2 linked regions of the Macaca mulatta genome follow. The protein of the gene in region 1 binds, or shares a complex with, the protein of each later gene. Links are inferred from orthologs where the notes say so. Each region holds a gene or a part of one and is shown on either strand. Other genes may lie near its edges.

Evidence for each region. Proteins that work in one complex are often made in the same cells at the same time.
Region 2: the proteins of ZC3HAV1 (region 1) and KHNYN are in contact, whole or in part, in a crystal structure (PDB 9BGL), measured with the Homo sapiens proteins. The link is inferred for Macaca mulatta from reciprocal best matches to the Homo sapiens genes ZC3HAV1 and KHNYN. Residues at the interface, in NP_064504.2 of Homo sapiens: Glu5, Val6, Cys8, Phe9, Lys12, Ile13, Ala16, His17, Glu29, Ile30, Ala31, Leu32, Leu113, Glu115, Phe118, Ser127, Gly128, Leu129, Asn130, Glu133; in NP_001277186.1 of Homo sapiens: His651, Lys652, Asp654, Phe655, Gln658, Arg659, Pro661, Tyr662, Asn677, Phe678.

What each region holds. Positions count from the first base shown.
Region 1 is NC_133408.1:178,910,401-178,915,493, forward strand, and holds part of ZC3HAV1 (zinc finger CCCH-type antiviral protein 1), read right to left. Parts: intron 2,469-5,093; coding exon 1,329-2,468; intron 879-1,328; coding exon 777-878; intron 1-776.
Region 2 is NC_133412.1:97,557,794-97,562,886, reverse strand, and holds part of KHNYN (protein KHNYN), read right to left. Parts: intron 4,392-5,093; exon of another isoform or gene 4,388-4,391; coding exon 4,280-4,387; intron 4,075-4,279; coding exon 3,973-4,074; intron 3,421-3,972; coding exon 3,171-3,420; 3' UTR 350-3,170; coding exon of another isoform or gene 1-349. Other genes in the region: epimerase family protein SDR39U1, read left to right, coding at 1-349.

The DNA.
Region 1 (5,093 bases):
GTTAGCCGGACGTGGTGGCACACGCCTGTAATCCCGGCTACTTGGGAGGCTGAGGCATGAGAATCACTTGAACCCAGGGGGCAGAGGTTGCAGTGAGCTGAGATTGCACCGCTGCACTCCATCCTGGGTGACAGAACGAGACTTCGTCTCAAAACAAACAAACAAACAAAAAAGGCAAACAAATACACACAAAAAGAACAAGTGTTGGTGAGGATGTGGAGAAATGTGAACCCTTGTGCATTGCTGGTGGGAAAGAAAAATGGTACAGCCACTATGAAAAATAGTTCCGCGGCCGGGCACGGTGGCTCAAGCCTGTAATCCCAGCACTTTGGGAGGCCGAGACGGGTGGATCACGAGGTCAGGAGATCGAGACCAGCCTAGCTAACACGGTGAAACCTCGTCTCTACCAAAAAAATACAAAAAACTAGCTGGTCGAGGTGGCGGGCGCCTGTCGTCCCAGCTACTCGGGAGGCTGAGGCAGGAGAATGGCGTGAACCCGGGAGGCGGAGCTTGCAGTGAGCTGAGATCCGGCCACTGCACTCCAGCCTGGGCGACAGAGCGAGACTCTGTCTCAAAAAAAAAAAAAAAAAAAAGTTCCGCAAAAAAAAAAAAATTAAAAGAAGTACTGTATGATCCCCCAACTCCACTTCTGTGTATATATCTAAAAGAATTGAAAGCCAGGTTTTGAGAAGACATTTGCACACCCATGTTCATAGCAGCGTTATTTACAATGGCCAAAAGGTAGAAGCTTACAGAAAAGTCCTTAGGTTACTCACCATTAAACGGACAACCCTTATACAGATGGTCAAGACAAATTTCCTTTGAGCCATGATCATCCACCCTAGAAGATGTGGTACTTGTGACATCAGATAAAGAATCTATGAAACAAAAAAGGATGCATGTATGCTGATCGTAATGTTTAAACCAAAAATCAAGGCACTTGGTCTCACAATGGGAAAGAATATCTGAAATGCAGGCCATGTTCAAGAAAATTCCTATGATTTATGTGTTTCTCATGAGTGTCTAGACAGCCCCTCCATAAAACAAAAATGTGGACCTCAGAGTCCTGTGAAAGTTGTGTTTATTTCTTAAATCATAGTTGAAATATTCCTATTGTCAATAAATGTGGCAGCTTATTCCCTGTGGTTCTACTGGTTGGTCGTTCCCTGTCTTCACTAGTCAACCTCCTCACCAGACCACCCCTTAACCAAAACCCTCTAACTCTTTACCCTTTAAGAACTGGGGAACATGCAAGGAAAACCCAGCAGCCATAGCCACTCTGCTGCAGACTCAAGACACAGGGGCCCGTTTGTCCTTCAGTGACTTACACTGAGCAGAGCCTGTTGTCTTCCTTGTGAGCTCACTGGCAGGGGAAACAGGAACCTGGGTGCAGTTCTGCCCCTGGGCCCTCCATACTGCAGCTCTGTTGCTTGAGGAAAGCGCAGCAGGTGACTGAGGCAGAGTGCTGACTTGTGCAGAGGCAGTGGATTCCCCAGGTGTGGTGGGGACCAGGCTCCTCAGACTCTGACTTCCAGAACGTAACTTATCTTTCTCCACCATGACTGCCATTGTGAAGCCAAAACCAGTGGCACCAGTTTTTTCTACGTCAGTAGTTTTATCTGCCACTTGACTAGAGCCATTTGGTGTATCGTGAACAAATGCACTAGCCCCAAGTTTCTTCCCTTTGTATTTACCATTAACAAGTGCCACTCTTGGGCCAGCATCATCTGTGATTCTGCCAGTGGCCTGAACATCTCGGGAAGCAGGTCCAGCATCCTGAGTCCTAGGTGTTGATATTTCTCTCTGACTGCTGCTTGTGCTTTTGTAATTTAAGGATCTGGTAGAAGTTGTATCTGTGGCCACTCCATCAGCATTATTATTAAAAAGAGGGCCAGGCTGGACGTCCTGAGTTCCACTTTTGCCATTGATGTTCCTGTAGTCTGAGGAAAGCAAGCCTGCGCCCTTTCTGGTGGTCACAGCTTCAGGTGTTTGCAGAGAGCCAAGAGAAGAGAGGGCGGCAGGCAGCGTGGGAGGAAACACGGTCTTTCTCCTGGCGCCTTGGTCGTTCGTCCAGGATGTGGGGCTCTTCCACTTGGGGGCTGGTGTTGAATTGGAAGCAAGGTAAGTGTTGCCTGGATTTCCATGCAAGAGGTCCTCTTGACTGCCGTTCTCTAAAAACCTCCGGCTTGCTCCGGCCTGACTTGTTCCTCCGAGATCGGTAGCCTTGGACGAGCCTGAGGAAGGCCGAGCGCGATCCTGACTCCCCAGATACGTGAACTTGTGGGTGAGATCATCCACAGGCGTGTCCTCCAGGGAAGCCCTGTGGCTGCTCGGATCTGGACTAGGCGTGCAGGACCTCTCAGCAGACGCTGAAGCAGACGCAAGAAATTCTTGGCTGCCCTGAAAGAACCGATCTCGGCTTTTGCTTCTAGCCCTATACGCCATGTTTCTACGATGTGAAGAAGGAGCTAGGGGAGAAAAAGCCAAAATGAAACAAAGTAATGAACACTGGAGTTAATGTAACTGAGTTCCTACCACCCTTCCTCCTCTTTGCTTTTCCAGCCTTGCTATCCAAGTGCTATCAAATTACTTGGCCTAATCTGATGTGTAAAAATCTTGAAGATGGGTGGTTTGACGTGTAAAAATCTTGAAGGTGAGTGGTTTGACAATGACGGGAAATTTTTTTTTTTTTTTAAGAGATGGAGTGTTGCTCTGTTGCCCAGGCTGGAATGCAGTGGCCCGACCACAGCTCACTGCAACCTCGAACACCTGGGCTCCAGCGATCCTCCCGCCTCAGCCTCCTTAGTAGCTGGGACTACAGGTGCTCACTGACTGTGTCAGTTGATGAAAGAATCCTGACATTCTGCCTGCACGGCAGAGCACGTCATTCCATGGCCTAGGATGATAGTGAGACCCAGGCTCTCTTCTGGGACTCAAAGTAGCCCCCAAACCCCAAAACTTTTAGGTGGGGCTGTCCACTATCTCCTGGTCCTGAGTCAACATTCACCACTGTGGTCAATGGAGAGAGACAGATTAGGGCAAATCAGAGAAGATTTTCCAGAAAGCATTCAATTTTGCCCGTATTGTGATATGGGTGTACCTGGCTATTGACAGATTCACAATGCTTCAAACAAACCAACAGAAAATGAAACCACAGTCTAAAGGCCTGACTTTGTTTAAGCCGGAAATTTTCCTAGTTTTCTTCATCCCACTCCATAAGGCCAAAGTGTATCAGAAGTCAACATCGACAAAGCAGTGTGGCCTGGAGGGAACTGGCCTCCCTCTAGAAACTTGACAGGTCACACCCTCCTGGAAGCAGGGAGGAAGGAAGGAGTAGGGTGTGTTTGTGAGCACGTGTGGAGTGTGTGTGTGGCGTGCGTGCGTGTGATGTTTATGTGGGGTGTGTGTGTGTGTGTGCTGGGGGTACATGTGGAAGACGCGCATGTCTGTGTTTGAGGCACATGTGCACGTGTGGTGTGTGAATGTGAGGTGAGCACGTGTGCTCGTGTGTGTGTGAGTTGTGTTTTTTGTGTGGAGAAGGGGTAGAAGAGACGTTTTTTCTCTTCCAAACCCCAGGGGGCAGCAGTAATGTAGTAAAAGCAAACACCCTCCTCCTGTCAAGAAAAGGCTTCACTCGGGAGATTAACTAGAAGTGAAAACATATACAGATCTTTCTCATTCACAGTAAGTTTACATTGAGAAGCTACCACCAAAACCCATCCCTCCAGACGTTCCCCTGTTCCGAGGCCACTGTAGTGTGGGAGAAAAAACATTAGATATGGGATCAGAACATGCACTCTGCTACTTTCTAGTGGTGTGAGGTCTTGAAAATGTTACCTTTTATTTCTTCATTATATTATCCTTCATTCGTCTAAAAATGAGCTGAGACTGCTTGCAATAGAAGTTTCTTAATATTTCTGAGTCTCAGTTTCTTTTCCCCCTTAAGTAAGGCTAATAAATGACATATCTGCCTTTCTTTGTGGTTTCACTGTGAGGAACAATGATGAAATATTTATTTGGGGTGAAAGTCCCTTGTAAATGATAAACCATTTCCCAAATATAAGGAAATTTAATTGTTCATTACTTTGCACAGAATCTTAGAATCATGTATTCTATCTGCTTTATAAAATTCACCTTTTCTACATCCACTTCATAAAGACATTAAAAATGAATGTCATTATATAATATGAAAATGCTTCAGAAATAGGAGCACTTGGCTGGGCACAGTGGCTCATGCCTGGAATCCCAGCACTTTGGGAGGCTAAGGTGGGTGGATCACTTGAGGTCAGGAGTTCAAGACCAGCTTGGCCAATATGTTGAAACCCTATCTCTACTAAAAATACAAAAATTAGCTGGGCATGGTGGCAGGCACTTCTAATCCCAGCTACCTGGGAGACTGAGGCAGAAGAATCACTTGAACCCAGGAGGCGGCCATTGCAGTGAGCTGAGGTCACACCACTGAACTCCAGCCTGGGTGACAGAGTGAGACACTGTCTCAAAAAAAGAAAAAAAAAAAAAAGTAATAATAGCACTTCATACTCCTTAGGATGGCTATTATTTTAAAAAAAAAAAAAATCAGAAAACACGAAATGATAGAGGATGTGAGAAATGTGAACCCGTGTGCATTGCTGGCAGAAATGAAAAATGACACAGCTGCTACAAAAAAAGGTATGATCATTCCTCAAAAACTTAAACATAGAATTACCATGTGATTCAGCAATTCTACTTCAGATTATACACCCCCAAAGAACTGAAAACGGGGTCTTAAAGTGGCTTCTGTGCACCATATTTACAGCAGCATTATTCACAATAATCAAACTGGAAATGACCCAAATGTCCATCGACAGATGAATGAATAAAAAATATATAATTATATACATACAATGAAATATTATTCATTCTGACATATGCTATAACATGGATGAACCCTGAGGTCATCCTGCTAAGTGAAATAAGCCAGTCAGAAAAGGATAAATATTGTACGACTCCACTTATATGAGGTACCTAGGGTTGTCAAATTCATACAAACAGAAAGCAGAATGTTAGTTGCCAGGGGATGGGGAAAAGAGGGAACGGGAGTCATTGTGATTTTT
Region 2 (5,093 bases), on another chromosome or scaffold:
CCTGGGGGGCCCCATCGGCTCAGGCCACCAATTCTTCCCCTGGATACACATCGGGGACCTGGCAGGAATCCTGACCCATGCTCTTGAAGCAAACCACGTGCACGGGGTCCTGAATGGAGTGGCTCCATCCTCCGCCACTAATGCTGAGTTTGCCCAGGCTTTGGGTGCTGCCCTGGGCCACCGAGCCTTCATCCCTGTCCCCAGCACTATAGTGCAAGCTGTCTTTGGGCGAGAGCGTGCCATCATGCTGCTGGAGGGCCAGAACGTGATCCCACGGCGAACACTGGCTACTGGCTACCAGTACTCCTTCCCAGAGCTAGGGGCTGCCTTAAAGGAAATTGTAGCCTAAGTAGGTCATGGCAAGGGCCTGAGGCCTGTCCCTCATAGGCTTCCAGGTTAGGCACTGTGAATAGGCTCAGCTCCTCTAGAGAGCTGAAGCCATCTGGTTCTTAGATTTCTCCCCCAGTCCTCTTTCCCATTGTTCTGTTGCTCCACCTTATTGTCTCAAGGCTGTAATCTCATCAGGTTGGGACATTAATCTTTTCAACTCCTTGCAAGATTTCCTAGTTGGGTTTCTCTACATGTCCTGCAGCTGCCCCACTTCTCCTTTATGCTGTGTAGAGAATGCTCTGCAGTTTAGGCAATAAAGATAAATTATCTCACTAACCTTGGCTCATCTCTCTGGCCTAGATTCGCCTACGATTTACTTCAAGGAATGTCACCCTAGATGATTCTTCCCCCAAGACGGGGTTTTGAAAGTTATAATGGGCAGTCTCTCTCATCACCCTCTCCCTTCTTGGTCCTTCAGTTGCCAAAAGAGCTTGTCACAAGTTTGGGACATCTGGTTATGATAAAGGTAGGCACTAGAAGACAGAATGATGATCCATTTCCAGTGGGCCCTGTAGTCACCCTGGATGCTGTCAGAGTGCCATTAGAATGCCAGTAGAGGAAGAGGTGAGGCCCAGGTGTAGGATAGACTTCAGTCTGTGTCACCAAATGGCAAGTGCATTACTAACCACACAGTGGTCCCAGTTTATCAGGCTGCAGCAGAACAAAGCCAACATCCCTGTCTATAAGAAGCTTAGGACTTGCCTCTCATCTGACTGGGGCCACTCAAGTCAACCAGCGCCGTTAGCACAAAAGGGCAGAAGATACTTTTGGTCTACTGTACACCCACCATCACTGAAAGTGAAAAGAGCAAGATACCAATCAAGAACTATAAACAACCCTATCCGGAGAAAAAAAAAACCTCCCAAGTTTTCATCTAAGACCCTTTTTACCTACCTAAAGCTGTGACATCTGCCATAACTTGATCAGACACAGTTCCCCCAGCCACCAGTTCAGGCCATATTAACCAGTCTCTTCTTCTCAGGGACCTCTGGGTTATCTCTGAATCACTGTCACCTCCTTGACCAGCCTGTCTCCAACACACCTGCCCCCAGCCTGGGTCAGTATGGTACAGTGGTGTAAATCACCAAAAAGGGAGGGGTGAGGACACAAGGACCCAAGGACCCTCCCCATCATCATTACATTCTCCATGCAGTATTCAACTCCCTGTGCCATTCAGAGGGAGGCAAAAGTCACGGCCTGGAAAAGATCTTATCCAGAGACTCATCACAGGGCCCACATAGAACAGAATCCAGGGGCACCTGTCCTACTTCTTTATCTGGTCTTGGATTCCAGGAAGTTGACTGGCTCTGTATTGTTCCTGGGGGTATGACCAGCCTCAAAGGTAGACGTAACAGAAAAGCATACTTTAGGCTGCACTAAAGGAAGGAGTACTGATTAATACCGTCTACACAGGGAATGTGCTACCTTGGAGATAGTAAATTCCCTGGCACAGGAGGACTTCAAGCAGACCAAGGGCAATGACCTGTAGGAATCAGGGTGGAGAGAGCATGTTAGTGACAGCAGAGTTGGTCTGGTGGCCAGTCAAGTGCCTTCCAACTCTGGTTATTTCATTTTCCAGATAATTGGTTCATCTAGAACCAACTGGTTCAACTTCCGTTAAGTCTTCCCATCCCCATACACACATACATAAAGCAGAAGTGTGCCTCACTTTATGCAACATATATCTTCCATAGAGAAAATGTTAGGGTTGGATCACATTAATATTGTCATTGCAGAGCATGGCTTCATCGATTTGGTGAAAAATCGACGTGTTCATCTCAACACCAGCAAGTGCATCTAACCAGGGATTTGCCAACAAATTTGTTAGTCTGTAAACAAACACTTGAATACAACAGGAGAGCTGCCATTTATAGGAACCCTGAGAGTATTCTGATAATGCAGTCATCCCTAATTTACCTATTGTATAAATGTGGATTTTGGAGGTTGCTCAAAAGGGATGCAGCCATTATAGGGCATGTTATAGTGAGAATGCAGTGTTAAAATCTAGGGTGTGGACCCTGAAGACAAAGGACCCACATCTCTCTGAAAGTGAGGTTTTGGTTAGAGAGCCTGTGCAGCCACAGGCAGACACACCTGAGACTTGGTCCAAGCACCTTTTCTCCAAGAAGCTTTCCTCTATGTTCTCATTTCTCCTCCCAACAGGTATTTTTACCACTGATTTGTAGGCGGAAGTAAAGCCCAAGCAACTCAATCAAGGTCACAAACAGGCATAGCTGAGACCAGAAGCCAAGTCTCCCTCTGCCTTCTTCACTAGCTCACTCCATTCTATCGTGGCCCCATCCACATAACGCTGTGGCCCTTCCAGGGCCCAGCGTCTCCTTCCACACTCCCAGGAGCTCAGCCAGGGAGTATCCTGTCCTCTGGCCATCCACAGCAGCAGCCAGAGAGAGGAACAGCTTAACTTCCTGTCAGTTCCCGCCCACCCTGCCCTCCACCCCAGCTCAGCTTGGAGGTGGAGCCAACAGTCTCAGTGTCCAGAACTAATCCTCTCCAGCAGCCCCTACTCCCTACAGAAACCCTGTGCTAAGGCAAAGTTGAGAAGTTAAGGCTGAGCAGAACCTCTTGAGAGCTGGCTGAGGTCCTCACTCGGTAAGATCAGGTCACTTTATGGACCTGTCCCAAAGTGGCTTCCCTGATCCAAAGCATCAACTCAGGGTGCCTCTGGATCAGAGTGTGAGCAGCAGAGGGACTCTCACAGAAAGGGCTGAGCTGGAGGCGGCTGGAGCTGACCGGGCGGCAACCACTCAAGCAGGTGAGGCTCAAAAGTTAAGACTGAGCAGGGCCTCAGACAGTTGGTTAATGTCCCGGCAGTATGGCTCCCGCTGCAGGATGAAGTCCACCTTGTGATCCTGACCCCAAAACACCTCCAGCAGCTGCCGCCGGAGCCGCTCTGTTTCCCGGGTCTTCCGAATGCCACCACTACCTTTTTCCTCTTCTCTCCCGTGCTGCTGTTTACCATGTTCTGCAAAGCCCCTGGAAGGATGCTGAGCCTTAGAAGACCCTTGTGTCCTAGGAAGAAACAGACCAAAAAGAGCTGATGAGCATCCTGGAGGGAAATTAGATCTTAGTGGGCTACCCCTCTCTTAATTGTCCTGCCTATTCTTGGCTTTGGGGGAGAAACCCTGAAGTTCCTGAAGCTGACCACTGAGTGGCAGTATCAACCCACTTCTGAAGGGGAGCTGGGCCGTTCTTTTGGAACCAGGGTGAGCTCTGCCACTATTATGATATAGTTCTAGTCCTAAATGAATCACTTATGTAATGGTCAGTAGAAGGCAAGCTGAATACAACTGGATCTCAGTATAAGCAACCGTTTTCCAAATAACTCCATCAAACATGCTGATTAAGAGAAACAGGAAGCAGGTGTTTCCCTACCAGCAAGGAGGTTCTATGTCAGGATCCCCTGGGAAGCTTATAAAGGCCAAGGCAACTCAAACCACTGCAAAATTAAGATTACACTTAATTTTGCCCAAACTGAGATCACACTTCCACCCAAGTCTCTGGGCCTGCTGAGAGAGGGCCAGGGGTGGGGGCTGCCCGCAAGTAGTCTAGGGGAAGGATTACCTGGCTGGCTTCTTCAGAAATTCATCCAGGGTGGGGCCGTTTCGTCCCAGTGGGTCATCAGGTACCATGAAGAGGTTTCCCACAAAGGTAAAGGGCAGCAGGCTGGATGGCGAAAGATATGTGGTCACAGAGGGGGCCCTGGCCCACCTCCCAGACGACTGAGACCAGTATCACCAGAAGCTGCTGGCTCCATCCTTCAAGAAAACTTCACCTGCTTCCCAGAGTTTTCACCCCATGGCCAGAGCAGAGCTGGCTTTAGAAAAACATCTGCATCTGTGCCCAATTCTCAGCAGGAGGGCTCCCTCACCGTTCTCTGATGATTGCCATCCACTTCTCAGACTCCTCCGCCAGGTCCCGGAACTGGTCATTGGAGACAATTATCCCATCTGTCTCTTCAGCCAGCTTCACCATGAACCTGTCTCCAAAACCACAGCAACCAAGAGAGGGTTGAAAAATTACCTACTGGGTACAATGTTCACTATTTGGATCATGGTTACATTAAAAGCCTAGACTTCACCACTATGCATTATATCCATGTAGCAAAACTGTACTGGTATCCCCCAAATCTATAAAAATAAAAGGAAAAACCACAGCAACCATTTGAGACTCTCCAAGGCCCCAACCCCAGAAGTTTTACTGACTCCCATGAGTCACTTCTGATGATGGAGATCTGGCCCCCTACCTCACTTGACCCAGCTACAGGCAACTGACTAGATATAAGTGCCATGGGCTAGAGAGGAAACAAAGATGAATCCAAGGTGGTCTCCCAGTAGTATCCTATCTGCTCACCATAGTCCTTTACCCAACACTTTGTGCCACATTAGTGAACAGTAAGATCTAGCTCTGACTGTCTTCCACCCTGCCCAACCAATCCCTCGCAAATCCAACATGCCCTTCCTTTGAAAAGCCTTTGTGCTCTGCTCCCTTCCTTCCCAGGACCACCATTAGTACCCTAGTAATTCAAATACTGCAACTGAGATCATGCATCACTTCCCAACAAGGGGGTCCCCACCTCTGACCACTCACCCACCCTCAAGTCTCCCCTGCCCTGCCACAAGAAAGCATGCTTATCCCCTACACAAAACTCTTCCACACTTGCCCTTTATTTACCAAATAAAGTC